Linked DNA regions of Schizosaccharomyces pombe. The protein of the gene in region 1 interacts with the protein of each later gene in a biochemical or structural test. Each region holds a gene or a part of one and is shown in the gene's direction. Other genes may lie near its edges.

Region 1 (4,916 bases):
GAGCGGCGTCCTGAGACTTGCAATCCACACGTCTGTATCGAAACAATATTGGTAACGTGCAATCCCTGAACCCTCTTTACTTTACATCGGGCCACATTCCGTCTGAGCTGAGGAATGTCATGTTTGCGTGCTTTACTCCCTTTCAGTCAAAATTGTGACTCAAAAGAAACAGTCACAAAATTGGTCTGAGGAGTCGCCATACATATATATACAGGGTACCCATATCCAAATATGGAAACTTTTTAAATTTTATTCTATTTTTCTCTTGGGCAATTTTTGCTTTGCTGTTTGGTTTGAGGTCAGTCGCCAAAGGCAATAGCATTGTGTGCATGTGTGCATGGTTAAAATGAAAAGTTGGCTAACAACATTTTTATTCAAAAATCATTAACATACAAATCTAATCAAAAACAAAATGAATATAGTAAGCAACAAGAATTAAATCATTTTTTTTTCATTGTTTTAATTTTAATGAGTAATTCCTTTCTTCAATTCCTTATTTTTTCATCCTTCCATTCATTCATTCATGCATTCCATCATTCCTCCTTGATGCAATGGATCGCATGGATATACATACATTGATTTGTGAATCGTGTGCATCTATTGATGGATGGGAGTTGTATGTGTTTGTGTGATGAGGGTTTGTTGAAGCAAGGCATTGTCGAGGATGCCCTCTATTTTGTGTTGTGTTTTAGATTAAAAGTTTAATGTGTTTATCTCTTTAATATACATTGTTACACAAAATCTCTGTTTATGATATTCATTTCGTTCCTATAGTTTATTCGAATGAATTGAATTGAATTGACTAGACTGACTATGCATACCAATCTTGTTGCTTCTATTGTTTAACGAAATACGCATAGAATGCTCGGATTGTCGACTTTATCATAGTTTTACGAAGTGAAATTTTTTTAAATGCTGCACTCACATACTGACTGTGTGATGTGAAAGATGAAAGTGTCATATCAAATTTAATCAAATGAACCCAAGGGAGAGTGAATATTATGAATTCACTCATCCTTGATGTTGGCAGAACGAGTCGTTTTGTCTGCATATTCAAACAACCCCCTTAAAACTATCTCAAACGAAACTAAACTCGGGCATGCATTTCAACGTTTTGCATGGTCTAATCATTTTTTGCATTGACTATATCTTTATTTGCATTTCACTATATTGTTTTGCACTTTACTAGATCGTTTTTGCATCTATGGTACGTTTTGCACTAATGAATTTTTTGCACTCACTCAATTTAAACTGCTTCCAAGAATAAAACGTTTTTATTTTTATTTTTTTTTCTTTTCCTTTGCCGTCCGTTGTTTGTCACCCTCAACTACACAAAATATCGACTCCGTGACTGTCATGTTTTATCTTTCACACGAATGACGATGAAATGTGACAGTTTATCTGGTCAGGATGATTGTACAGCCTGGGCCTTGGTTTGCATACAATTGAACGAATTGTGAGTGATTTAATGGTGGTTAATCTTAGAAATACTATAATCTACTTCAACCAATTCTATTACTTCATTTTTTGCTTTGCTGATACGGCATGGTTGCCTCATGTGTAGGACATTTGTCTGACAAACCAATTATCCCTACACGGGAAGAGAATTCCTTGGGTTAAACGGCATGTGGTCATTATCAAGGTTTCGTTAACTTTTGTCCCACAGGATGAGGTTGCCAAATCGTAATACCAGCCTGGGTCTCAAGAGAGAAAATGCGACAAGGGATGCATCGGCAAATGCCAACTCAAAGATGTCACTTTTACAGTATTCATGAGCAATGTGGTGGTGATAGACTCAAGTAACTGTGTTAAAATTAAGACAGGGGCCTGCTAAAATGAACTTACGAATAAATCGCTTTTTCCTTCGGACATTCAAATCAGTAAGTCAAAGTGTGAAAGCGTCATTGGTTGTGTTATTCGAGACTTGTAAGTCGGCAGTAAATCTATCTGTAGCGAGTGTGTTTGAGAAAGGAGGAAATTTTTGCATTGTTCATTAGCAGACTTGACATTTACCGTGTAGGTATTTAAGGTGGCAGGCTTGCCAGCTAGAAATTTCAGTGTGAAAAAAAAAATAAAAGTCTTCAAAACTGGTCGTAAAATGTCTGGTGGCTGGGATGAATCAAAATATGTCGACAACGGCGAAGATGAAGTAGTTAGACAGGTTAGCGAACCTAGTGTTGAAGAGCCAATTGAAGCTTCCGTAACTCGATATCGCAGTGATGAAGAGAAGTTGGACGACAAGTCCTCAGGCGCTCATGTAACAGAAAAAGAAGCCGAGTTCGACATCGAGGGTGGCTCACGGGAAACTAGTCAATGGAAGCATTTCTTAAACGTTGCTGTCGCCGGTGTTGCTTTGATGTCTGATGGTTACTGCTCCAATTCAATCGGTACAGTGATTACTATCCTTCGTAAACTCTACCCAGAGGAAACCACTCACAATAAGTCGTTGCAGGACATTGGTATGATTGCTTATGTCGGCACCATTGTCGGACAATTGTCATTTGGTTGGTATTCGGATCGCTTTGGTCGTAAGAATGGCATGATTACCGCTACAATTATTTTGATTGTGTCTACAGCCCTGTGTACGGGTGCTTACGGCTACAAGGGCAGTATCAATGGCATGCTTTCTGCCCTTATTGCTTATCGATTTTTCTTGGGTATTGGAATTGGTGCTGAGTATCCTTGTGGCTCCGTGGCTGCTTCAGAGTCTTCCAACGAACTGAAATCGGGTTTGCGCCATGCTGCCTTTATCGTTGTTACGGACGGTGCCATTGATTTTGGTTTTGTCGTTGGTGCTCTTGTCCCCTATATTTTAGTTTGTATCTTTGGCGAACACCATCTGCGTATTGTCTGGCGTCTCTCTATTGGCTTGGGTCTTGTGATTCCTTGCGTTCTTCTCCCTTTCCGTATTGCCATGAAGGATCCCAAAACCTATGTCAAACATAAAGTTCCCCTCACTAAAATCCCTTGGCTACTTGTATTGAAAATGTATGGTTTCCGCTTGTTCATTCTTTGCCTCATTTGGTTTGTCTACGATCTCTCTGCCTTTGCATTTGGCTTGTATTCCAGTACCATTGTCGATGGTGTTTTACCCGCCGATGCTTCTACCGCTAGATCATTCGGTTGGAATGTTCTAATCAATACCTTCTACCTTCCTGGTGCCTTACTTGGAGGTGTTTTCTCTGATTTACTTGGTCCTAAATATTGTTTGATCACCGGTCTTGTCTTACAATCCATTTTCGGCTTTTTCATGTCCGGATTCTATAACCAGTTGGTCCACAAGATTGCCGGATTCTGTGTCATTTACGGTATTTTTTTAACGTTGGGTGAATTCGGTCCCGGTGGCAACATTGGTTTGCTTGCTTCCAAAACCTCTCCTACTGCCATTCGTGGTGTTTACTACGGTATTGCTGCGGCTATTGGCAAGTGTGGTGCTATTGCAGGTGTTTACGCTTTTGGTGGTGATCAAGTGCGCAACTATTTTTATGCTGCAAGTGCGATGGCTATCTTTGTTGCTGTTTTAGCCCTTCTCTTCGTTCCAAAACTTAAGCAGACATGCATTGAGGATGAGGATAAGAGATTTATTCAAGCCTGTATCGATGCTGGTTATGGAAATCCTTACAATTACGAGAAAAACGAGCCAGAGCAGCTGGAAGAACCCGACCGCCCTCCTGCTTTCAAGTAATTCGCAGCATTGAGTATATCAAGCTTATTAATAATTTCTTAGCCCTTTCCTGAGTGCGACCTTTTCTTTTCATCATATCATTTTATGCTAATCTTTTCTTTTTTATTGTACCCTTATTAAATACAAATCATGCGGGAAGCCTACCTAGTCTTTTGCCTTGTTGTGTTTCAAAAAATCTAAAAAATTTAAAAGTCAAACTTCATTTGCAAATGTTTGATCTGACTTTGACTTTACAAAATACCTTGTTTGATAATGATTGACGGCTGATTTTGCCCGTGTTTTTATATTCAGTGGAAGTCAGGGCTATTAGACATATGGTAGGACAACTGATCTTTTGCTACCTTTTCGTCTTCATCTTTTTTCGTAATTGTTAAGTACTACTTACTCTGTTATAGTACTGATTTATCCATCCAATCATGAATATTAGTTGCTTAATGTGTTTACTGTTAAATAATTGAAAAAATTATAATATCTGCATTATGGCGTTAACGGACTTTAAGAGTCTTAATTTTTTCTTGATAATTCTAACCCATATGGTTGCTCAATTTTATATATAAAGCGCTTGTAAGTGGTGATTATCCCTACTTACTTGTTGTTATGAATAAAAAAATAAAAACTTTTTTCACTATAACTTAACTCACTTTTGTTAGACTAATAAACACATAGACATGATGAACATAAAGGATTGACCCAAAAGAGCGACAACTTATAATGAAATCCAGCTTATCGACTTTCAACCCCATCCTGACCTCTTCGATCTTGGTCGGGAATTTTTTCGTCTAAACGATTACGAACGTTTAAAAATGTATAATACTGCTTAGCGGTCCACTTGCGAAGTCTTTTACCGCAAAGAATCATTGGGAATGAGGTGGCGATAAAAATGAAACACAATACACCGATTGAAATATAAGTACGCTCCGTACCAAGGCTATCGATCCAACTTTGACAGGCAAACGTAAATACATACCCAAAAGTGTTATTAATCACAGAAACACCTACCATTGCCTCCAATACCATTCCAGGATACGCATCCATCAGGTAGGCCATAGAGATATCACCGGCACAACCCCAACCGAAACCAATAAAGCCAAGACCCACATAAGTAGGTCCCCAATGCCAATGCCGAGCTGTACCAATTCCAAACATAAACAAACCAATTGGATTTATGATGCAAGGCAAAATCATCAACCATAAACGCGATTCGGCTTCTTTAATACCATTATTACGCTTC
Region 2 (5,591 bases), 990 kb from region 1:
CTTTAAATTCCTAAGCGAACTCGCTCAATTAGTTTATTCAGCATACAATACTAGTACTAGTTCATATGATATAACAATTTTTAAATACAAAAATTCAGTAATATCCCTAATGTTCAAGTGTTTATCGAATACTTGATGTTAAGCAGTAGCAAAAAATGCTACTACCGAAATACATGGTACATACGCCAATGGTTTTGTCGCCTCCATTAACATAAAGAATTTAGCAAGGGCTTTTACATTATCAAATACATAAAGAGTTTTTCAAGCATTTTTTTCCATTGAAGAATCGTGCGTTAGTATTTCATAATGGTGAAGCAAACAGCTGTCTTCAAGACAACAAACTGTACAACACGCTTCCTCATGAAAGACACCAGCTGAGTATTCAATCATCATTCTCTTTGTAGATTTAAGAATATATCTATATTACTTATCGTTTTCGTCAAATCATTTTTTCAAACGTTTCATATGAGTATATTAGCAAGTAAACAATCAATACTTTTGGGAAATAAGCCTCTCAAAATACCAGAATGGGCGAGGTATTTCATTAAAAGTTTCGTTGACGATTTCAAAATGAAAATGTGTTTTTTGTTACAAATACGTGGAAATGGGGTGTTTACCTATTGGATGTATTCTCGTGTATTTTGAGAAAGAAGTACCAAAATTTAAAGTGAGGAAACTAAAGACTTATTTCGCTTTCAAAAGAGCTGAAGTTGCTGGATGCTTACAAGTCTTCCATTTTTATTGATAGTGGGCTTGATATGAGTCAAATCAGGCAAAAGTAATATATACACTGTTGAAAATACAACGGTCTGATAATAGTCATTCATTATCGTTCATATCCATAATCAAATGAATCATTAATTTTCAAATAAGCACAAGTTACGTTTTTTTGTTTTGTAAGGTTTTATACGAATACGCGATAGATTAAGTGAAAAAAAAAAAAAAATCAGAAATCATCAATAGTAGCACGATGAAGAAACAAGAAAATTGAAAATGACCCATCAATGGGAAACGCTCGTTTTTTTGTAAGTCCTAGGAAAGTAACTTTTAGATATATATTTGAGAGAGGAAGATCGAAACATTGAGATGATAAAATTAAAATGAATTGAGTAAGAATACTCGCTTAAACAAGGTTTTTAGGATTTCGTTTTGCGTCTTCAATCATTCGTAAAACACCTTCGGCTTGCTACTCAAAGTCAGTTTCATAGAATACGAACAAAAACCATTGAAAGCAAACACCACGTTTGAAGAAGGTAAAGGGAAATATTAAGGAAGACTTAATATTCTCTCTTTTGTGGCACCCCCAAACCCACTTCAGAACCTGGAGCAAACAGTTTTAAAAAAGATTCGCTATGTATACTTACTGATCGATCTTTTTTGTTCATTTCATAAGAAGCTCGAAGATCCGGTGGAAGTGAATTGACAACTCGTTCGGGAGATGGAGTTGTTAATTTCATTGTCATATAGCCAAATCCAACGATTCCTATTTTATATACTGGTAAGTAACACAATCTTAAGTTCGGGATAGAATCTTTTCAACTAAATCGATCCTATCTCAAAATGTCCATACCAACACCGTATACGATACTTTTAACCACACGATTCATGCTTTAGGTACAACAATTCAAAATGGAGTCTGCAAAAAGCAAACAATAATAAAGGTTGTAATACAGAGAAAAAATAACAGTAAGTATAGGCTCTTGACAGCAATGCTATTGCAGACACAGATGTTATGTAAGGCACCCTATACGTGCTATATAGACGTTCCATGGATGGTTGGCCGGTTTGCAAGGCCTTGTGAAATACGCTGTATTCCGTTATTGATCTTTATTATTTTAACAGAACAGAGCGCTGTTTCGCTAAGATTGTCGAAAAAGGTATCTCCCCGCAATGCGGTGGTAGCTTAAATATAAGGTTTTTTAAGGTAAAGTGTTAAAGGCGATTACTGCGCTATGCCCCACCACCCTGTACATGCTAATTTATTACTGCTGCCACCGCTAATCAGATCTGTCGACTTCGCCCTAACACGATAAAAGAAAATCTCTCATCTTTGTCAGGAATTCATCGTTCAAGTGTTTACAAGTGATATTAAATCTGTAAACAGTTATACTGCTTTGACGAGATTGAGCTAAAAATTTATCATTGTTACCCCCCGCGTTCGTGTCATATCAGCACCTTTGATTTGAAAAAGTGTTGCTCAACTGCGGTTTTTTTCAAAAGAAAAGTACCAAGTTGTTGATCATAAAGGATATTTTTACGCGTGATTGTTTTCTTTCTTATTCTTACACAACGATCTTAGTATTCCAAACGCATTTATTCTTCTTCCATATATAGCCCATATCTCCATACTGATTCACAAAAAGCGACGAAAGTGAAGGAGCCATTGATTTAGGGATTTTGGTACTTTTCATTGTCTCCAATTCTTTTGTATTGCCTTTTTGTAACCTAAATTTTCTTAAGACGAAGGAGCATTTGTTTAAGGCTTTACTTTTATCATATTTCTTTTGTCTTTTTCGTTTGTATGCAGAAGAAAGTCGTTCAGTCTGCTTCTAAGAATGAGGAGCTTGATCCACATTACAAGCGGTCCTCCGTTCCTTTCCCTTATGGATTACCCGATTACGATGCAGAATATCAATTCATCAATCATCATATGCAACAATTGCTTACCCGCCCAGTAGAAGGTACTCATTCTGCCTCTGTACATCCCTCCACATCTTCCACCTCTCATATCTCTTCTCCCTCTGCTTTTTCAGTGCAAAACCCAAATCCAAATGATGCTCCGTTTGTGGGAAACATTGGCTTGGATGCATCTGGGTTTTCCTCCGGTGGCATGAGTGAATACTATCCAAGATCTGTTTCTATGCAACAGTCTCAAGACGTCCATTTCCAAAATACCGAAATTCCATACTACCATCGTTCTCCATCGTCTGATAGTTTTTCACCTGGGGTGGTTGCATCTGTTAACCCTAATTCAAACAACTCTCCTACTTTTTACTCAAATCCTCCTGCATTATCTAATATTCCGATTCCCTTAAACAACTCTCCCTATCGTCCTGAAGATGCTTATTTTCAGTTACAAGGTGCTGGAGTGAAGGCAGACATAAATCCATACAACTTGTCTCCCTATTCTCAATATGGTCCAGAGGGCACTGCATATTCAAATGCGCAAGCTCATCATCAGGATGGTGCTCCTTTGCAGCGCGTTTGTTCAGCACCCGATCCTCCTAAAACCTCTATGCCACCTTTTGGATCCGCCGGGAGTCCATCTCCTAATCGTAGTTTAAACGTTTCCAACAACACGACTCCTCCTCTTTCCACTGTGAATAAAATTATAAAAAAGCCTAAAGCTACTACCGGTAAAGTTAAGAAAAGACTTCCTCAGGCCAAGAGAGCTTGCGCAAAGTGTCAAAAAGACAACAAAAAATGTGATGACGCTCGTCCTTGTCAGCGTTGTATTAAAGCCAAAACTGATTGCATTGATTTACCCAGGAAGAAACGGCCAACGGGAGTTAGAAGAGGCCCTTATAAAAAATTGAGTGATACTTCGAACAACACCAAGTCAACTACTGCATCTTCTGGTCATTCCACGCAAGATTCTCTCAGTTCTAAAATGTTGGATCCTTCAAGTGACAATCAGTTTGCCATGTCTTCCAGACAGATGGATGAAAACGGAATGGCCCAGTATCCTTCCTCAGCTATTAAACAAGAACTAAATCTTCAACCCCAGATACTTGTTTCATCTGCTTCAAAGAACTTTCAACCTAATGTCACTCCTCCTTTTGCTGTCCATCATGATCATTTCAATTCAACATCAATGGATGGTGTGGCGGTATCTAACATGGACGAAACTGGAACTTCCTCAGCTGGTTCAAAGCCTTTTAATCGAAAATCTCGAAACCGAAGTTTTACTAATCCAGTTGGTATGACCGAGGAGCATTTTCTAAGAGAATATGCGCAACACTCTGTAGCTAATCCTTCTTTGCTAATTCATCAGATCCATGGTTTACCTTCTGAACAAGTCCATGGCTTATTATCTCATACGGAACTCGGTAATGCAATGCATAATCAACCGACGTATAACGAAAGCTCAATTGCCGCTGAGAATGTGAACAATTGGATGTTAGAAACGAATGACCACGAAAATTTGTCCATGCAGAGCCATTTTGAGGTTCCCGATTTAAAAATGAACCATCACGATTCTAGCTTTTTTGACCGTCACATAGACCAAACGGCTATGCCTGGACAAAATCAACATGGTACTGTTAAGAATATGGAAACAATGCACCATTTTTATCCAGACGTTCATAATTCGGAGTTTCCTGCTGCCCCAAATCCCGTCAAGTCTCAAGTTCCTTATTATTATCAATCCCAAGCTGCTGATGATGAGGAAGAAGATGTACCGGATCATCAACCTTCTTGGCGTGGGAGAATACACTCGTTTTCAATAGCTACTGATTCGTCACAGCATGTGGTAGAAAGACCATGTATCCATTCATTAAGAGGAATACATGGACAACAGGATGGCGGGCTTGAACAACATGATGGTGATCATGTGAATATGCTTCCTGATACCCATGCGGAGGAGCTAGCGTACACATCCATGCTTTTATTTCATGATATACCTACACGAGACATTAGACCCGACTTTAACGTTCATGAGCTAGTCGATCATGGAACCTATCCTAACTTCCATCAAAACCAAGCCGATTCATTCAAGAATCATCCCTTTAGACAATAATTTTGCGCATATTACCTTTGTTTTTCTCGTTTCTTATTTTGTTTTTGCATTTGAGTGTTTCTCAGTAGATTGACCTACACTATGAATATTGTCAGACGACAGATCATCTTATGATCAAACGTAAGACAATGTGAAAAAAAAAGGAAAATGATTTTTTACTCCCATTTATTACTTTTTTTTTACTCTTCTCTCTCTCTTTGCCAAATTGCCATCTGGACCTATCTTTCTAATATCGGTCTAGTAATTTTGATATACTATGGATGCCCTTTTTGTCTTGTATTCTGCTTACATTGATTAAGAATGTTTTATCTTTCGTTTTCTTTGTGTCTATTTATATTTATTTTTGGGTATATTTTGGGAAAGAAAGTCGTTTTGGGATAAATGTGATCGTACAGATGACGAAAGAAGTTACTATATGTGATTTTCTAAGTATTTGTACCATTTAAGTGTGTCGTTTTCTTATTTTTACTGCTATTGTTATAAACGTTTTGTTATTTAGCCTATTGTGCATTCAACTTTCATTTGCTTCTTTTTCCGTTTTAGAGTTTGTAAAGAGATTTTTGTCATTATTAATCTTATTAATTTATACCAGTTTGGATATCCTGGTATAATGGCTTGACATTACACTTGCATTCATTCGTTGTGAATGTGATAAACACGATCGCATATATAATTAATTTGTCTCATATGCTGTTTTAATTTACTTGTTCATAGAAAGGGGTGCAAACATTAAATTGACACAATATTTCAAGATTCATTTTATTATTCAATAATAATATCTGTTACTCTATTTTCTAATAAATCAAGTATATCATTTGGTATACCACCTATGTGCATAAGAAAGTGTAAGGAA

What was found.
Region 2: the proteins of tgp1 (region 1) and pho7 are reported together in a solved structure, tested with the Schizosaccharomyces pombe proteins (one study listed by BioGRID).

Annotation. Positions count from the first base shown.
Region 1 is NC_003423.3:349,552-354,467, reverse strand, and holds tgp1 (plasma membrane glycerophosphodiester transmembrane transporter), read left to right. Parts: upstream 1-2,056; 5' UTR 2,057-2,098; coding exon 2,099-3,685; 3' UTR 3,686-4,158; downstream 4,159-4,916. Other genes in the region: SPOM_SPBC1271.10C (transporter), read right to left, coding at 4,409-4,916.
Region 2 is NC_003423.3:1,344,396-1,349,986, reverse strand, and holds pho7 (transcription factor Pho1), read left to right. Parts: upstream 1-2,012; 5' UTR 2,013-2,521; coding exon 2,522-4,738; 3' UTR 4,739-4,875; downstream 4,876-5,591. Other genes in the region: protein Cbp4, read right to left, coding at 1,124-1,186, 1,365-1,483, 1,571-1,607.